Linked DNA regions of Oryctolagus cuniculus. The protein of the gene in region 5 interacts with the protein of the main gene of each other region in a pairwise test. Links are inferred from orthologs where the notes say so. Each region holds a gene or a part of one and is shown on either strand. Other genes may lie near its edges.

The links.
Region 1: the proteins of TMEM79 (region 5) and SLN interact in binary tests that used the Homo sapiens proteins (3 or more experiments, as listed by UniProt). The two-hybrid records come from large-scale screens. The link is inferred for Oryctolagus cuniculus from reciprocal best matches to the Homo sapiens genes TMEM79 and SLN.
Region 2: the proteins of TMEM79 (region 5) and RNF8 interact in binary tests that used the Homo sapiens proteins (3 or more experiments, as listed by UniProt). The two-hybrid records come from large-scale screens. The link is inferred for Oryctolagus cuniculus from reciprocal best matches to the Homo sapiens genes TMEM79 and RNF8.
Region 3: the proteins of TMEM79 (region 5) and SFTPC interact in binary tests that used the Homo sapiens proteins (3 or more experiments, as listed by UniProt). The two-hybrid records come from large-scale screens. The link is inferred for Oryctolagus cuniculus from reciprocal best matches to the Homo sapiens genes TMEM79 and SFTPC.
Region 4: the proteins of TMEM79 (region 5) and RPRM interact in binary tests that used the Homo sapiens proteins (3 or more experiments, as listed by UniProt). The two-hybrid records come from large-scale screens. The link is inferred for Oryctolagus cuniculus from reciprocal best matches to the Homo sapiens genes TMEM79 and RPRM.

Annotation. Positions count from the first base shown.
Region 1 is NC_091432.1:99,520,914-99,525,061, forward strand, and holds the start of SLN (sarcolipin), read right to left. Parts: upstream 2,801-4,148; 5' UTR 2,707-2,800; intron 1-2,706. UniProt on the Homo sapiens protein: Reversibly inhibits the activity of ATP2A1/SERCA1 and ATP2A2/SERCA2 in sarcoplasmic reticulum by decreasing the apparent affinity of the ATPase for Ca(2+). Also inhibits the activity of ATP2A3/SERCA3.
Region 2 is NC_091436.1:132,255,188-132,258,701, forward strand, and holds part of RNF8 (E3 ubiquitin-protein ligase RNF8), read right to left. Parts: intron 3,455-3,514; coding exon 3,347-3,454; intron 102-3,346; coding exon 1-101. UniProt on the Homo sapiens protein: E3 ubiquitin-protein ligase that plays a key role in DNA damage signaling via 2 distinct roles: by mediating the 'Lys-63'-linked ubiquitination of histones H2A and H2AX and promoting the recruitment of DNA repair proteins at double-strand breaks (DSBs) sites, and by catalyzing 'Lys-48'-linked ubiquitination to remove target proteins from DNA damage sites.
Region 3 is NC_091439.1:1,147,295-1,151,545, forward strand, and holds the start of SFTPC (surfactant protein C), read right to left. Parts: upstream 2,803-4,251; 5' UTR 2,693-2,802; coding exon 2,651-2,692; intron 1,350-2,650; coding exon 1,191-1,349; intron 925-1,190; coding exon 802-924; intron 593-801; coding exon 491-592; intron 229-490; coding exon 88-228; 3' UTR 81-87; intron 1-80. UniProt on the Homo sapiens protein: Pulmonary surfactant associated proteins promote alveolar stability by lowering the surface tension at the air-liquid interface in the peripheral air spaces.
Region 4 is NC_091434.1:88,453,700-88,456,949, forward strand, and holds RPRM (protein reprimo), read left to right. Parts: upstream 1-1,383; 5' UTR 1,384-1,524; coding exon 1,525-1,854; 3' UTR 1,855-2,750; downstream 2,751-3,250. UniProt on the Homo sapiens protein: May be involved in the regulation of p53-dependent G2 arrest of the cell cycle. Seems to induce cell cycle arrest by inhibiting CDK1 activity and nuclear translocation of the CDC2 cyclin B1 complex.
Region 5 is NC_091438.1:42,422,885-42,426,365, forward strand, and holds the end of TMEM79 (transmembrane protein 79), read right to left. Parts: intron 877-3,481; coding exon 663-876; 3' UTR 515-662; downstream 1-514.

The DNA.
Region 1 (4,148 bases), on a different chromosome or scaffold from region 5:
ATCACCATACAAGGCACCAAAACAGAAAAATGTTCCGGTCCAGTGTTGTTCCTGCTTTGACTTCCCATATAGGCATGGGAGATCATAATATTTCTAGTTTCAGGCTGCTTTAAGTCTTCATCCAACCTTGGTGAAAAGCAGTTTCAACAGCTGCGTGGCTTCTGACAAGCCCTGCACAGGGCACAGAGCCTACTAGGGTCAATCAAAAGTCCCTCACACAACAGATACTCAGTCCAGAGAGCAAGTGTTAACCTCATGGGTACTCCTATTTCAAAAAGGGATTGCGCCAGCTATTTTTAGTCCAGTCCAGGATGTGCCTAGATTGTAAACACTTCAAAGAGCAGGGATGGTATCCTCTTAGGGTGTACAGATTGTACATGCAGGGAATCATACTTTGAGAATGCATGCACTACAGTCAATCTATTACTTTAGTGATGAGATATAACTGGCATTTTGCTATGTGGTCTAAATGAAAGACTTGGATATGTTAGGTACTTTAGATTCTTAGATATCTATACTTTAGATATTTACAACAAAAGTCTACTGTGGAGTGAAAAGTTTTAAAGAAGAAAGGTGTTTGTTAAGGGTGGGAGCTCCAGGAACTGAAAGGGTTGCTAGCAAGTTATTAGCTTATGATAAATTATTAATTATAACTACTATATTTATTACTTATGAATGGCCAAATTATTAATTGCATAAATAACATATGAATAGTCATTGTTCATATTGCATACTTGTTGGTAGAGCAGATTAAGTCAGATGATAGCAACCTCTAGGTTATTGAATCTTGGTTCAAAATATGGTGAATGAGACTGGTTAATGTTTCATTTCCCTCTTAATTCTTATCCATCGTTTGGCCCTCAGCATGAAGGAAGTACTACATTGCTAATGAAAATCTTTACAGACATTTGCTTGGAGGAGAAAATGAACAGAAGAAAATTAACGCATAAAGGAGGAGAGCAAGTGCAAGAAGGCAACAGGAGGGCAGTGAGTCCAGTCAAGGAGCAAAGGCAAAGGAATGAGAAACAAAGACAGACTCTCCCTTAGGATTTTCTAAATGAAATCAAACCCTGGTCCAAATACCCACTTTCTTGGGTAACTTCTCCAGATATACAGTAAATATCCTGTATTTAATGATCAAAACAACCCAATTCAGGGGGAGGAAAATAATTGCTCCACCAAATCTGCTGTTTAAATTAAGCTCTTAAGTAAAGGGAGTCTTGGATGATGGCCTAACAGGAAATAAGAAAAATGCTTTTGTTATCTTCACAAAAACTCACATAAGTATTATTGTGATTTTTATCTCCCCCAAGATTACAGCTGGAAAAAAATAACTTTTAGAGAATGGTTAAGTTGTTTGTGTGGTGGCACATTAAAGGCAGCAAATTAGAGGCAGGCCTAGGAATGGCTGACTGGAACTAGTTACTAGGATTGTGGTCACTCCAAAGGAGTGATTACAAGAAAGAGTTATCACTGGCGAAGAACTAGTCTGAATAAACAAAATTAGTGTGAATTTTCAACCACTTTGGGAAACTATTTGACATTTTTGAAGCTTAAAAATGCTCATCTCCTAGTATCTAACAATTTTACTTCCACCCCAGATGCTTAAGTGCATACGCACCAGGACACATATACAAGGGTATTCACAGAAACATTTTCACAATAATCCCAAATTGGAAATAATAGTAGAACTTGGCATATTGATACATTTTAATACTAGAGTAGAAAGAAAATACATGGATTTCAGTTATAGCTACACAAAACAAAAATGTGTGGATCTCAGAAATATAATTGTTGGGTGTAAGATAGTTTGCAAGAGAACAAAATGACTCCATCTATTTAACATAAAAAACATGGAACTTTATCGCAATATTAAGGTTAGTAAAATTTTAAATAAAAACCAGGACAAGATGATCTCAACATCTTGGGACAGCAGGGGAGGTAATCAGGCACAGATTTCTGGGATGCTAACAAGGAACTGCTTCCTGCCCTGGGTGACAGCTATACAATTGATACCCTAAAATTATGTCTTAAACTGTGTATGTTTTATGTGTTCTTCATATTGCTTTATAGTCATCTCTGAATTGACAGGCTATCTATTATTATTCTTTCTTTCCTCTGCTTTACCTCCTACTATTTTTTGCACTTTGATGGTGAACTTAAGTATTTATTATTTCGTGTATTCTTTAAATGACTAGAACACAGTTAAGATGACAATTTCTAAAGAATCCATTTCTTTCAATATGTGTGCTCACAATTAACTGTAGACTTTACTCACACACACATTTATGCCTTTTAGGAATATCCAAATTTAGGCAAAAATCCAGATCAATCAAGTTCTATTGGCTTCAACTTAAACCTTTCCTGAAGTCAAGTTCATGCCATATGATCCAAAGAGATTGCCATATGGATGAACTGAAAACCAAAAATCTATGAATAAATTGGACAGGAAGTTTGACTTTGGAATCAATGGAGTCTTTGAGAAAATTAAAGACTTTCTTCTGTGCTATAAAGAAAGTTTTGTAACTATCGGAAGGGGAAACATGCATGAAGAAAATAGGAATGACTTTACATCTTAAGGTAGGTATTGCCTATTTTATTAAGATATGTAAACATTCTGCCTTTCTCATTTAAAACTTGCACACACACACACACACACACACACACACATGCACCCTATGCTAAGCCTAAAAACCTTGCTGTTACCTGAAGAAGGTCAAGGACACACGTTGGCTGCTGTAGGTTTCTCCTTACTTTCTCCAACTCTGGCTCCAACTCCGGCTCATCTCCCAGGCTGTGTGGACTCCTGGGCTCTGGGCAGGGCCTAAAGTAGTCCAAGGGAGGTGACACTGTGATGTCACTGATGAAACAGCTGAAAGGAATAACCCTGAAGGTTTGAGGCTATTTGTGTTCAGGGGGACTTGGAAATATGTTGACTAAGACTGTTTCTTCGGTTGCCAATTTATTTAAACATCAAAGGGCACTAAAACTTCTATTTCCAGTTCCCTTTTGGTGCACTTGATGTGGATTTTAAATTGATCCTTTGCATTTTCATGAATACATCTAACTTATCTTTAAAAACATCACAAACCATTAGTGATAAAATAATTTTTTTTTTGACAGGCAGAGTGGACAGTGAGAGAGAGAGAGACAGAGAGAAAGGTCTTCCTTTGCCATTGGTTCACCCTCCAATGGCCGCCACGGCCGGCGCACCGCGCTGATCCGATGGCAGGAGCCAGGTACTTATCCTGGTCTCCCATGGGGTGCAGGGCCCAAGGACTTGGGCCATCCTTCACTGCACTCCCGGGCCACAGCAGAGAGCTGGACTGGAAGAGGGGCAACCGGGCCAGAATCCGGCGTCCCGACCGGGACTAGAACCCGGTGTGCCGGCGCCGCAAGGCAGAGGATTAGCCTAATGAGCTGCGGCGCCAGCCAGATAAAATAATTTTTAAAAATCAGTGCAGCATCTGGCCACTCCCACTACTGAGCAGGCCTAGGTGTAAAGATGTGACTTTGTGTTACCACCTATATCTTTAGCTGTTTGCAATATAAAGAGTTCTCTCTCTCTCTCTCCAACACACACACACACACACACACACACACACACACACACCACGATCCAGAATTCAAAAGACATCTTGAGCTGCTTCAAAATTGACTTTAGTCCAAACAGTGAAAGTTATCTCTTCCATCACCTGCTCCCCATAACTTTCCAGCTAAACAGTGCATTGCAAGTTTACACCTTAATCTACAGTTTCATCTGAAACAGCTGAGAGAGGCGTGGTTTGTCTATCTCTGTCAGTAAACTAATATAGCAGTAAATTCAAATGGCAAGACATAGTCATTTCGATAGATTGGGGCTAGAAATAGAACTGGTCAAAATTTTTGAAAAACCTGAGTTATTGAATAAATGTGGAAGATGTCAAATTATATAACTTTCTTTATGAATACAGGCTAAATGAGTTTGCAACCAACAAATCAGATGTTTGAAGATAAATAGAGCCTCTGAAGGGTTTAATTGGACTTCAAAATAAGTCAGTTAAGCACCTTAAATCTGACCCCAGCAGTTGTGTTTGCTCAGCAAATCCCTTCTTTATAATAGAGCAATCCCCCTCTGAATTCCCAGTCAGGGTTAATCAAAGTCATAC
Region 2 (3,514 bases), on a different chromosome or scaffold from region 5:
GACTCAATGTCCTTGCGACAAATGGGGCATTCTATCTTCCTCTTCATCCATTCTTTGATACAGTAGGAGCAGAAACTATGGGCACAGTTCAAGGTGACAGCCTACAGTGGGAACAGGAACACACATCACAACTTTCACACTTACTTTCTTGGCAGTTCATTCTCAAAGCTAGGACAGGAGCTATTTTCCAAGGCCAACCAAAAAGATAACTACACTTCTATGTGGATTGTAGTATCAGAATCATTCTTGGGCTGGGAAATTTTAGGTTTCATGTTAGACAATCCGTGCTGTACCTTCTCAAAGTTAAGGTTACAGACTCAGGTCCTGGATAGGCTGATTTGTCTGCTTTGTTCCCCTAAGTCAACCACACTGCCAATGTGGGTCAACCATCCTGAGAGTGACAAATGCCACTGGACACAGCAGGATGAGTAAGTGTATGAACATACAAATGTAAAACTAATTCTCTTATTAAAAACAAACTAATTCTATAATTAAAAACAAACAGCTACTGCTACTTGTGAGTTACAACCTCAATTTTAGTATACCAAGTGTAAGTGAATACTGACCACTTAATGTATAGAATGGTAGGAGGTAACATCTTTAAAGAAGCCAAAATGTGAAATACATAATGGGTTCACTGACAGTGCCTGAACTTATAGGCAAACACATCCACAAAGAGAGACCGCAGGACAAAGCCTGTGATTCAGGGCTTCTCTGAGCACTCCCTCTGGTCAGATTTTTTTTTCACTCCCAAGAGTATAAACCATTCTCTCTCTCTTTTTTAAAGATGTGTTTATTTATTTGAAAGGCAGAGGGGCAGAGAGAGGGATAGACAGAGAGAGAGAGAGGTCTTCCATTCACTGTTTATTCCTCAAATGGCCCCAACAGCCAGGTCTGGGCTAGGCCAAAGCCAGGAGCCTGAACTTCATCCTGGTCTCCCACATGGTTTCAGGGGCCCACGTATCTGGGCCATCTCCTGCTGCCTTCTCAGGCTCATTAAGTAGAAGCTGAGCCGGAAGCAGAGCAGTGGGGACCCAAACCAGCACTCCAGTATGGGACACTGGCATTGCAAGCAGCAGCATAACCTGTGGTGCTACCATGTTAGCCCCTTCCTTGTCACTCTTGTTCATACATATATATATATATATATGTTATATATATAATATAGATACACATATGTATGGATGTATGTATCTTCTAAGATACAACTTTTTCTGAAGTTTAAAAATCCTCATTTCTGCTTTTAAGATAAGCAGTGGAAAATAACATCTAAGTTATACATTTTTCAATAGCAAGCTGAACTCACAAAATCAGAAAACTAGAATATATTTTTCATTATGAAGTGTTATGAAGTTCATGAAGTAAACCCTCATAAACAAGATTAAAAATGCTAAAAATGCTTTTTTTTAATTTTTTTTTTTTTTTTTTTTTTTTTTTTTGGACAGGCAGAGTGGACAGTGAGAGAGACAGACAGAGAGAAAGGTCTTTTTTTTCCATTGGTTCACCCTCCAATGGCCGCTGCGGCCGGCACACCGCGCTGATCTGAAGCCAGGAGCCAGGTGCTTTTCCCGGTTTCCCATGTGGGTGCAGGGCCCACGGACTTGGGCCATTCTCCACTGCACTCCCGGGCCACAGCAGAGAGCTGGACTGGAAGAGGAGCAACCAGGACAGAATCCGGTACCCTGACCGGGACTAGAACCCGGGGTGCCAGTGCTGCAGGTGGAGGATTAGCCTATTGAGCCGCAGCACCAGCCAAAATGCTTTGTTAAAATGAAACATCTAAGACTGACTTTAAGCGGTTGCTAGCAGAATAGGTCAGTACTCCGTGACAAAACATAGGTCAAAGCGTTTGTCTCTTTCATGTCTATGCAAATACTCTGAGCTGGCTAACTTATCACCCATTCCAACGTCCCTTTCCTTGTCTTTCTTTACCAGAGACCATAAGCCCTGTCAAAACAACACTGAGTTTCTCCAAAGTAGGGAATCATCTAGCTAAAAACTATGCAGGAAATTATGACCAGAAGTCAAAATGAATCCAGAAAAAAAAAAAGAAAAAACAGGTTGCCCAGGAGAGAGAGGTTTTTTCAGGAGGCTAACAGACTCAGCCTCCTTAAAGACTGCTTGAGAAAAGGATGCAGTGTGTATGTGTGTTTGCCTTTGTTAATCAGTCGGAAAAGCACTGTCGTCTAACAACCTGAGTTTAACACTTGTGGTCTAAGCTGTACTGGTCACAAATGGGAGGACCTCTGAAAAATACAAGAGCTGGTGCTTGTATTTATCTTGTACAGGGGCCAGCACTGTGGTGTAGCAGATAAAGCCACAGCTTGTGATGCCGGCATCCCATATGGGTACCGGTTCAAGACCCGGCTGATCCACTTCCTATTCAGCTCCTTGTTAGTGCAGTTGGGAAAGTGCTTGAGGCCCTGCACTCATGTGGCAGATTCAAAATAAGCTCCTGACTCCTGGCTTTCGCCTGACCCAGCCCCAGCCACTGTAGCCATTTGGGGAGTGAATCAGTGGATGTAAAATCTGTTTAAAAAAAAAAAAAAGAAAGATGACAGGACAATAAATGGGAGCCTCGGGGAGAGGTATTTCATTTCACAAGGAGCCTGAAGGTCCTGAAATATATTCTACGTGGCTTTTGAATTCTGAATTCCCAAAATGACCACACATCAATGGCACTGACCATTCTGCTTTGAAAGGCTGCATGGCAGAAGCAGGTATTTAGTTTAGCAGTTAAGATGCCAGATCTCACATCTGAGTTTGATTCCTGATTCTGGCTCCCGATTCCAGTTTCCTAACACAGACCCTGGTAGGCAGCAGTGAAGGCTCAAGTAATGGAGCTCCTGCCATTATGTGGAGACCTGAACTGCAATTCTGGCTCCTGACTCTAGTCTCCTGCTAACTCATACCCTGAGAGACAGTGGTGATGAAGCAAGTGAATGGGTTCCTGCCATCCATGTTCTGAGGCCTGTCACTGTGGGTATGTGGAGAGAGAACCAATGGATGGGAGCTTTCTTCACCTGTTTCTCAAATAAATTTAATTTTAAAAACTACACTACAAGCCTACTCTTAGCTTTGTGTCCATTCAGAGTAAAGAGAGAGAAGTATTTCCGGGCTGCTTCATTCTGATACTTCGGCTATGTGATCTGGTTTCCCCCATCCTAACAACAAAGAGAGAAAGGCTTTATTGCAGCTAAAAATGTTAACCATACCAAACAAATAGTTATAAATTCCTAGAAGAAAAATCTCTTCAGAGTGTTTCTTTGGCAGAAGCAGCATGCATGGTCCAGGTTCCGTTCCGTGCTGGGAGAGTGAGAAGGGGTGCGCCACTGGTCATAATTACCTCAATGAAGTATTCTGAGCAAATAATACATTGGAGTTCATTTTCTAGCACGTCATTCATCTGACTAAGAACTTCCTCCTTCTGTGCTTGTACCTTCTCCTTCTCTTCCTGTGAAAACACACACAACCCTGTCTGTCATCTGGGAGAACCAAAAGGAGCACAAAACAG
Region 3 (4,251 bases), on a different chromosome or scaffold from region 5:
AGGGAGTGAGCCTGGCTGGGTCCCCAGCGCCTGGTCCGCCGCAGGTGGCCGGTGGCCCAAGCCCTCCTCCACCTGCTCACCTGAGTCCTAGATGTAGATGAGAGGCACCTCCCCACACAGGGTGCTCACGGCCGCGCCCAGGAAGGCCAGCTCTCCTCCGGAGGACGCCGGGCCTGCGGCTGGCCCCTTGTCCTGGCCCCGCTGAGTGGGAGGCTCTGCAGGGTTGGCCTGGGAAGAATACCAACTTGGAGTCTGGGGACCCAGAGCCTGTCACACCTGGAGCCCTTATTGGTGGGACCTTAGGCAGGGCTGCGTGGGCTCAGCTGAGGCCATGCACTTGGAGGAGGGGGAACAGGTAGGGGAGGCAGGTGCAGGTGAGGATGGAGAGGTGGGCACTCACTTGGGCATGCCTTACAGGTGACAAGTACCTTCATCATCTCAAGTGTGGCCTGGGAGGCAGACAGCCCCCACCCCTCACCCACACACCCACCTGGAATTTTCTAGCCAGAGCCTCCAGACTGGGGATGCTGTCTGGAGCCATCTTCATGAGGTAGCAGCAGGTTCCCGGGGCTGGCTTATAGGCGATCAGGAGCTGGGTGTGACATGCTACAGGTCAGTCGAGAGGCCCCCTGCCTCGCTCACTGCCTACCCCTGCGCTCACCCAGCCCCTGGGTTGGACACAGGAGTCCTGTTGGAATCTGGGTTTCAGGCCTTCCCTCTACCCCCCACCCAGGGAGAGGGGGGAGAGGCGGATGTGATGAAGCGGCACAGCCTGTGGCCCTAGGGGTGCAGGCAGCCTACCCGCTGGTAGTCGCAGGTGACAATGCCGGTGGAGCCGATGGGGAAAGTGGCCGTGGTGCCCGCCCACTCGCTCAGTGCCAGGCGCTGCTGGACCTCCGGCGCCCCGATGCTCATCTCTAGGACCTGGGGGAGATGTTCCTGGCACTCCTGTCCCCCACTCCAGTGCCCATGGCCCCCTCCCCTCTCTTTACCCAGATGCAGTTTCTTTCTCTGCAGAGAGAGCTCAGGGGCCCGAGTGGAAGCCCAGGCCAGGTTGGCCCGCCCCCATCTCCGCCCCTCTCCCTCCACACTGCACCCTGGCATTCCCCTGGCCCAGCCCACCCAGCTCCGGGGCGGCTTGCCCCCACCCTCACCCACCCGCTGCTCACCCCAGCCCCGCGCCTGCTCACCATCTCGGTGTGTTTCTGGCTCATGTGGAGCCCCATGAGCAGGGCCCCCACAATCACCACGACCACGAGGACCACCACGACGACCACGATGAGAAGACGTTTGAGGTGCACTGGGCAGCAGGGGATGCCGAAGCGGCCCCGGGGAGCTGCTGAGTAGTCCTGCCGGCAGGGGGCAGCAGTGAGACCCGTGCCAGCTGGACACCTCGGCCACACGCACACTCAGAAGGTTGGACCACCAAAGCCACACAGACGCACACACACACACTCAGAGGGATAGACAGCCAAAGCCACACACACGTGCTCACACAGACACACTCAGAGCCAACACCACACGTGCACACACCCACTCACACACATGCACCCAGAGGGATGGACAGCCAAAGCCACACACACGTGCTCACACAGACACACTCAGAGCCAACACCACACGTGCACACACCCACTCACACACATGCACCCAGAGGGATGGACAGCCAACGCCACACACACGTGCTCACACAGACACACTCAGAGCCAACACCACACGTGCACACACCCACTCACACACATGCACCCAGAGGGATGGACAGCCAACGCCAATGCCACCCATGTGCAGGGGAGGGCTGTGACGACCAGAGGAGGCTCCCTGGAAGAAGTGACCTGGATTCTAGCAAACCCAAGGCCTCGTGTGCAGGGACCCAGGGTGGCCTGTTTGGCCAGGGCTCGTCTCCTGCTATTTCTCCGAATTCCCTGGCACCCAGCCATAGCCAGACCCTGTGTTCCACAGATGGCCCAGGCTCGCCTACACTGCCGTGCCTTCATCCACACTCCCCCACCTTCCTGCAAAGCCCTCCTGCTCTACCTGGACAGCTCCTCTGTATTTTCTGGCTCTACCTGCCTTCTCTCTGGAAGCTTCGTGCAACCCCCTGAGTACTCAGTGGCTCCTCCCTCCACTACCCTCTCCATTTTTTTAATAAAAGAGACCTTAGATTTGTGTTTAATGCTTTATTTATTTGTTTGAAAGGCAGAATTTCAGATTGATAGATAGATAGAGATCTCCCATCCATTGGTTCATTCCCCAGTGGCCCTGGGCTGATCCAGGCCAAAGCCAGAAGCCTGGAACTCCATCCAGATCTCTCACATGGGTGGCAGGGACACAAGTACTCGGGCCATCCTCCACTGCTCTCCCAGGCACATTAGCAGGGAGCTGGATCAGAAGCGGAACAGCCGAGACTTGAACCTGCGCCCATATGGGATGGTGGTGTTGCAGGTGATGCCTCAGCCTGCTGTGCCACGACGCTGGCCTCCCGGCCCACTCCACTGACCAGTCCCTGTGATGGCCGTCACCTCCTTATACTGGAATTATTGTCTCCCCCAGGGACTCTGTCTCAGTGGCCTTAAGAGTCCCCATCTTAACTAGGAGGGTGGAGGAGGCAGGGTCCCACACACACCTGCACACACGCGCGCTCCCATGCACTCACCGGTGGGCTCTCCATCAAGGCCTCTTTGCTGCCCATGTCCATCTTGCCACAGGTGCCCGCCTCTCCTCGCCTCCTGGGTATGACCAGGGCTTTATATGTGCTCGTGCGGAGAGAGGGCAGAGGTGAAGGACCGGGCCCCCTGTCTGCCAGCCAAGTCCTTGACTTTGAAGCCTGTTTGTTCCTGGCCCTCCAGAGCCAAGGCCCTGATAAGCCAGCTACAAGTGCCCCCAAGGGCCCTTGGCCCTGGCACGTGAGCTCCCTCTTCCCGCACGGCAGCGAGCCTGGGTGTGCCGAGCAAACTTGCCCCTCGGCCATCGGCAGCGCTCACCATGGGTGTCTCCTGGCCGGCCTGCCTGTCTTGCTGGCACCTGCCCTCGCAACCCTTGTTCTGCTGCCAGGCGGAACCACTCAGGCGGCCAAGGGTCTGACCGCCCGCCACACCTGCCAGCAGAATTTCTAGGGGTGAGTTCGGGGTAGGGGGCGGAGGAGCCAACATCAGCAGACCCTGAAAGGATTTAGGGTGGGGGCGCAGGAGGGCTCCTGGGTGTGCACTTCTCTGGGAGGGCCGGATTCCCGCTCTATGCATTCCGCCTCACACGTGGCCTGCCTGACCTCAGGCTAGCCCCCAGTCATTCTTTTCTGTTTGGAAACTCTGTGCCCGCCAGTGGAAAACTCTTACTCATGTGCACTGCTCCACTCTTTGCTAGATGGCAGACGCGGCTCCCTCAGCCCCGACGGCCTTGCACAGGGCTGGGTGTGGTTACTGGCCGCCTCCCAGTCTCCCTGTTCTTAGCTGTGCCTGCTTGCTCCACACTGCCGATCATCGCCAACATCCGGCTGCACTCTGCATTTCATATTCTCTGGTACCAAGGGCATTCCAGAGGGCTACTCACCCCACTCTGTCCCCTTTCTGACCTCGTCACCACCACCCCAAACCCAGCCGCCATTCTCCCTCTCCTACGTCCTTCCCCAAAGCCGTGGCCGTGGCTCACTCTCAGATCGGCCGCTGGCTTCGCGGGGGATGGTACCTTTCCGCCTGGGCTCCCCTTCCCTCTGGGAGCCAAGTGAGCTGGGAAGCCCCTTCACCTTGGAGCTGCCATGAGGGTGTCAACTCAGAGCCCAGCACCTCCCTCTCCCGGCCTCCTCTCCTTGAGCGTATCACTCCTAGCCCTGTCCCCTGCCTCACTCACACCACGACCCTGCCTTCAGGCCACCAGCTGGACCCTCCCCACTCTCCAGCCCTGGCACAAGGACCCTCTCTCCTCTCCAGGTTGCACAACAGCACGACCTCTGCTCTGAGGGCCCCTGAGCAGCCCCAGGAGGAGAGAGGAAAGGAAGTGTTTGCTCTCACCGCCTTCCTCACTCCCAAACGCCCCTTTAAATATTTGCCAAAGCCTCCGGCAGCCACAGAGGATCCCCCGATGGGTGAGAGGACAGAGGAGGAGGAGGGGGCACAGGGAGCAGGAAGAGACCAACATCCTCCTCTCGGCTCAGCCTCAGCCGAGTGCAGGTGTCAGATGTAGGAGCCGGCCCAATGGCCGTGCCCACCCCTGCCTGCTCCCCAGAGCCCCCTCCGCCCGGTTGTCCTGGCAACGCTGGGA
Region 4 (3,250 bases), on a different chromosome or scaffold from region 5:
GCAAAAACATTTAAGGAAACCTCTGAACGTGGGAAAACCACTTTGGGAGGATAAACATAAGAGGATTTAATAAGCAGAGTGGAATTAAGAGTTGAGTTGAAAATAGCTAAACAGCTACCAGACACTTAGTAAATGCATTCTATCAAAAGATTGCAACAGGCTTCAACTTACTGGTTTCCAGTTCCTAAAGCTGAAAGAACGGAGGAGGAGAAAGAAAAGGAGGGAGAGGGAGGGAGTTTGAAGCATTGTTTTGGAACTTAACATTACTCAATCTGACAGGTTTATAAAATTTCACCCAAACCAACAGCAAAACCTGAATGGGCTGAAGGTTCAATTCCCCCCCACCAAGAAAAAACCCCATCTGGTTTAAAATGACAAAGGGTGAAATACATCCGCTTATGGAAAGCGGGGAGGGCTTTCTGCCGTTGGCCAGCATGCTAGGTGATGGTTGTTGATGAGCAATTCCCTTAAACAACTGATTTACTGCCAACAGACACAAGCGCTGGAAGCACATCCAGAAACTCATCTGCAATTAAAATTGCAAGCAAGTGGTCACTCTGTCCACTCCCTTCCCAGAGAGGTGACCCTGCTCCCGGTAACCACCCCCACAAGGGTCACAGAGGGACACCTCCCTCCTCCAAGCCTCTTTCTTCGGCTTCAAACACCGCTATAAAACCTGCCGCCGCCTCGCCTTTGTAAAGGGTTGTGGGGCTACAGTTCCTTCTTTCCTTCCTCCCTGTCTCTCCCAACTCCCTCCTTCTCTTCCATCTTCCCTCTTCCTTTTCTTTCTAAATGCGCTCCTTTTTCAACGGTGGTCCTCCCAGACCACCCCCAGGGCACCCGGGTCGGTCGCGGAGGGGCGGAGCAAGGCTCAGGCGGCAGGGAGGCTGGTGCCCTGGCCAGCGCCATCTGGCACCTGCACTTCCTTGCCACTTTGCACACGCCCAGAGGTGAGAGGGGCGCCAGGCAACCGGCACACACAGCTCCAGCGTTCCAGCGCCTCTGAAACTTTCAACTGCTCGCACCTTTAACCCGCAAACTCCTCAGTGGTCCAGCAAATCAGAAGAGTCCTGGGACCTCTGCCTGGCCTCTGGAGTTGCCAAAGAGACCAAGCCAGAAAAGCTTTCCCCCACCGCCCAGCGGCGGCGGGCGCAGAGCGACGGCGCGGCCGCAGGGGGCCGCTGTTCGCTCAGAGCAGCTCCCTGTAGCCGCCGCCGCCGCCGCCGCCGCGTCCCGCACCTCCCACGGCGCCACTGGCCCAGCCCCGCCAAGTTCTAACAGCCCCCAGTCGAGCGAGCGCCGCGAGCGAGCACCGCCCGGACCGGAGCGAACAGCGCAGACGATCCGGGCTGCGGTGCGCGTCGGAGAGGCTCCCGGGAGACTCGCACGGCCCGACCGACGACTTTGGCAAGGAGAGCGCCACAAGCCCCGCGCGCCCAAGTCAGCTAGCGAGCGCTCAGCCCGGCACCTGTTCCTCCCGCATATCGGACCCCGCGTCTCCCGGGGCGCCCGCCTTCTCCCGCCATGAATCCGGCGCTGGGCAACCAGACCGACTTGGCGGGCCTGTTCCTGGCCAACAGCAGCGAGGCACTGGAGCGCGCGGTGCGCTGCTGCACCCAGGCGTCCGTGGTGACCGACGACGGCTTCGCCGAGGGCGGCCCGGACGAACGCAGCCTGTACATCATGCGCGTGGTGCAGATCGCGGTCATGTGCGTGCTCTCGCTCACCGTGGTCTTCGGCATCTTCTTCCTCGGCTGCAACCTGCTCATCAAGTCCGAGGGCATGATCAACTTCCTGGTGAAGGACCGGAGACCGTCGAAAGAAGTGGAGGCGGTGGTCGTGGGGCCCTACTGACCGGCCCTGCGGCCCCGCGGCCGCCGCCCCCTCGCCGCCGCCGCGACCCCCGGCCTCAGCGCCTGGGCGATGCAAACCTGTCGGAGTCAAGTATTTGACTTCTGCCTTTGAGGATGAAGCGACCCTTTTCTCTCGCTCACCCTCTGCGAGGCCTCGCAGCTGGCTATAGGCGAGCGCCCTGACTTTTGCACTCTGCAGCAGGTGGCAAGAACAGGGCGATGGGGGCACAGAACTTTGGAAGCTGACTCTCGCGTGGAAAGCGGGGAGACCGGCGGGGCGAAGGCCGCTTTCCACCCGCAGGTGGGCCAAGCGCTTGGAGGTGGCGGGCGGAGGGGGCGGGCTGAGGGGGGGGGGGGCGTCCCAGGGCGAAGATCGCCTGTTGACAGGGAAAGTGGCCACACTACAGACCCGATGGGGACTCACACATCCTGGCCGGGACTGGCGTCCACTGCGTCCCGCTGCCCCTTAGCCCCCCGCGCGTGGGGAGAGGCGCGCCACGAACACCTTTGACTGTAACGTGCCGTCTTCAAGGGATTTTGTGTTTGTGTGCTTGCATACGACTATTCGATGCGTTCTCTTCTGCCCTAGTGGCCCGTTTGCCTGCCGGGGGTGGGGGTGGGGGTAGAGTTTTGTCCTCGCGGGAGAAGGGGGGCGGGGAGGGAGCCTGCGACTGTGGACCGGGTGAGTTGTTCCTTTCCACGCTTTCCCAGCTGGGTCTTTCTGGAGGGCTGGCGCCGCCGCCGCCGCCGGCCCCGGGACAAAGACTCGGAATAGAACTCCTCGTAGCTCGTGACTGCACGGTTTACGCCACAAAAGTGCTCTTGACATCCGTGACACCGTTTCGACTTTCTTTCTTAAACATTTCCTTAATAAATGCGACCTGTAAGTGTTTTGTTCCTGGCCTCCTTCGTGGTCATTCTGCGCTCCCTGGCAGAGGGGGGCGGGCAGCTGTAGAGTCTGCTCCGCGGCCAGGGGAATTTCGCCTTGGAGAGATGCGGTTCGCCTCTCGGGGGTCCGGAGGAGGCGAGGGTGGGGCGACATGGAGAGAGCCCTGAGCCCCGGGCGCAGCGGTCCCCCAGGTAGGCGTGACGATGAGAGGGCCCCCCGCGGGTTCCTGGCCGGCTCCATCGGGAACACGGGGTTACGCCGCTAATGAAAGGCAGGGGTGGCGGGGCCGGCCCGTGGGGGAGGGCGCCTCGCCCCGGCCAGCGCCCGCGGCCCGCGGCACGGCGTCGGTCGGGTGCTGCTCCAGGAGCGTGTGAAAGGCGAGGCGGGGTTGACGCTCTCCGTTACCGACACACGCGGTGTATTGTTGTCTTCCCCTACAATACCTTTGCTAGCCGAAATGAGACTGGAAGAAAGGATCAACGTTTGAGGCTGTGAGCCCGAGTTGATC
Region 5 (3,481 bases):
GACACAGTCATTGTAGACCTAGTAGCAATTTATTGTTATACATATACACACTCACGGGGGTTAACATCAGCCACTGTGCCTTCCAAGCATTCCCACGCCACCATGTGCACACGCGTTCAGATACACACACACACACCTGCTCCTCTTGGGTGGCAGATTTCCCTGGCCCTCCTCTCTTCCCATGGGCGTGGAGGGACTTCTGGGCAGTTTTCGGGGTGGGAAGTTCCAGGGGCCGCTGAGGTTGGAAGGGAGAGAAAGAAGGCAGCAGCTTTGAACTGGGGCGGAACAGTCCAACAGGCTCGTCTTGAACGGACCTGAACCCAGGCCCCCGGGGAGGTCATCCTCAAACCGGAAGTCCTGGCTTGATCTGAAACTCAGCCTCTGTCTTTGGGCATGGCTGAGTATCTCCAGCCTCCTGGAGGCCTTTGGCTGAGAGCGGCGGCGGCACAGGGAGTGCCTGCGAGGGGGAGCAGAGTCCGGGAGCCGCGGAGGGAGGCTGGGCCTCTCCTGCTCGTCCCGGCCAGGCCCTCAGCATCCTAACAGGACAGGCCTGTGCCGAGGAAAAGACTGGCTCCCTCCCTCACGTAGGCGCAAAGTCCGGGCTCGCCGCGCCCCGGGCAGGGCAGGGCAGGGCAGGGCCGGGCCGGGCCGGGCCGGGCGGCTCAGCCCCAGGGGCGGGGCCTGTGGTCCGAGGCTGAGCGAGCGTGGTCCGGGTAGTCCAGGCGGCTCTCGGCAGCGGTGAGCATGCGCTCGGGCTCCACCACGAACATGTAGTAAAGGTTCCACACCAGCATGGACAGCAGCGGCAGGAAGGTGAGGCCGTAGCCGAAGCCGCGGAAGGAGCGGCCCACGGCGAAGGTCAGCCAGTAGATCAGCCTGCGGCGGCGAGAAAGGCCCGGGCTAGGAAGAGCGGCGGCTCACCGGCCGGTGCGCTTTATGCGGGTACCAAGTGCCAGTTAGGCAAGGTGCACCAGCTAATTTTGACTTCTCCACACCCCACTGAGATGCCTGTATTATTCCCCTCCCTCTTTTAATTATTTGCTTTTAAGTTTCAATTAAAAGTTTTTTGTGTGTGCTAGTGGGCGTTTAGCCTAGCAGTTAAGACAGGGGTCAGCGCTGTGGTGTAGCGGGTAAAGCAGCCACTTGCAGTGCCGGTGCCCATATGGGATGCCGGTTCGAGTCCTGGCTGCTCGGCTTCCGTTCCAGCTCTGCTATAGCCTGGGAAGGCAGTAGAGGATGGCCCAAGTCCTTGGGCCCCTGCACTCTGGTGGGAAACTCGGAAGAAGCTCCTGGCTTCGGATCAGCGCAGCTCTGGCCGTTGGGGCTGTTTGGGGAGTGAACCAGAGGATGGAAGACTTTCTCCCCTCTCTCTTTCTGCCTCTGCCTCTCTGTAACATTGCCTTTCAAATAAATAAATAAGTAGGTCTTAAAAAAAAAAAAAGACGCCGTCATCACCTATCACAATGCCTGGGTTCAAGTCCCACTTTTGTGCCCTATGCCAGCTTCCTGCTAACACGCACCCGAGAAGGCAGGGGGTGATGGCTCAAGTACTTGGATCCCTGCCATCCACACGGGAGACCTCGCTTGGGTTTCTGGCTCCTCGCTTTGCTTTGTCCCCGCCCCAGCCACTGTGGAACATTCGGAGAGTGAACCAGTGAATGGAAGTCCTCAGGGCTCACTCTGTCTCCCTCCCTGCCTCTCAAATAAATAATTTTTAAGATTTTTGAGTGGACCATATACATGGTTCAAAGGTCAATAAGTACAGTTAGTACCTTCCTCCCTGTAGTGATCTCTGCCCTATTCTACCCCCTCTCCACCCTAGGCAAGCGATATTAGGTTTCTTGTGCATGGAATGATTTTTTTTGCATATATGAACAAAATATTTGTTTTTTTTTTCCTTTTTTGAATCAGTAGCATATTATATAGACTGTTTTGCATGTTGATTTTCCCTCATTTAATATACTTGTATCTTGGAGATCATTTTATATCCATATATAAACAGTTTCCTCATTCTTTTACAGCTGTAGTGTGGTTCCATGGTAGCTAATTACCCTTTTGCAGGTGAAGAAACTAAGATTCCAAAGGGGTTAAGTAAGACTGGCCCAAACTCACACATCTGGGACATAGCAAAGCCATGATTTGAACCCAAGCCTGTTATCACCCCCTCTCAGGCCTTTTTAGAAGAATGGAAGAAAAGCAGAGAGTAAGGAAACCAGCTTCAAGAGGGTTTCAGGGGCCGGCATTGTGGTGTAGCAGGTAAAGCTGCCAGCTGCAACGCCAGCATCCCATACGGGCGCCAGTTCGAATCCTGGCTGCTCCACTTCCAATCCAGCTCCCTGCTAATAGCCTAGGAAAGCACTGGAAGATGGCCCAAGTGCTTGGGCCCCTGCACCCATGGGAGAGACCCAGATGAAGCTCCTGGCTGCTGGCTTCAGCCTGAGTACTGGCCTTTGTGGTCATCTAGGGAGTAAACCAGAGGATAGAAGATCTCGCTGTCTCTGTCTCCCCTTCTCTCTCTCTCTCTAACTCTGACTTGCTAATCAATCTCAATCAATATTTTTTAATAAAAGAAGAAAGCTTTAAGCTCAGAGGGATGGAGCAGCCACAAGCAAATCCGCCCTCTTGGAAGATCCACTCAAAGCACACATCGCCCAACGAGGGGAGGGAGAGCAACTTCCTCCGGGTATGTGAAGGGCCAGTTGCTACAAAATTGAGCTGCCTGTGCTTGGTTCACCTGTGGAAGAGGCTGGGCGCGGGGAGAGTGAGTGACGGCACTCTGCTGCAGGAGGCAGCTGGACATCGGAGAGGACAGGCTGAGCCGAGTCTCACTAAATGCATCAGTAAGCGCTCCGTGCGTGAGATCCTTTAATCCTCACAACTCCAACTTAGAGATGAAGACAGACAGCAGATAATCAAGGAATTTGCATGGAGCAGACAGCCCTGAGTGGCAGAGGCAAGGGCTCTGCTTTCCAGCCCTGAGCAACTCTTCTCCCCCAGCCTCTCCTGATTTCCGCTTTCTAAAATGGGAAATGTGGACCCACCAGTCACCGAGTCTTCCTTAACTCTCTGACAATTCTCACTGCTTGAGGCCACTTTTGTCTGAGCCCAGTATCCCCCAAGAGTCAGGAAGGGGAGGTTGGATTACACGGGAGGAACATATTTCTCTTGGGAGATCTACGGGGAGAGAAACATTAAGGCCACATGTTGGTCAAGAGGACCAGCTGACCATGCAACTATAACCAGAAGCCACAAGAAGACTACTTGTAGCTCAATGAGAATATTTGAGAAGTTAAAGCTGTCTGGAATCCTTTACTGAAAGTAACAAGAGGGGGTCAGCGCTTAGTGGGTTAAGCCGCCGCCTACAGTGTCAGTATCTCTATGAGCACGGGTTTGTGTCCTGGCTGCTCCACCTCCGACCCAGCTCCCTGCTGTGGCCTGGAAAAACTGGAAGATGGCCCAAGTCCTTGGGCCCCTGCACCCA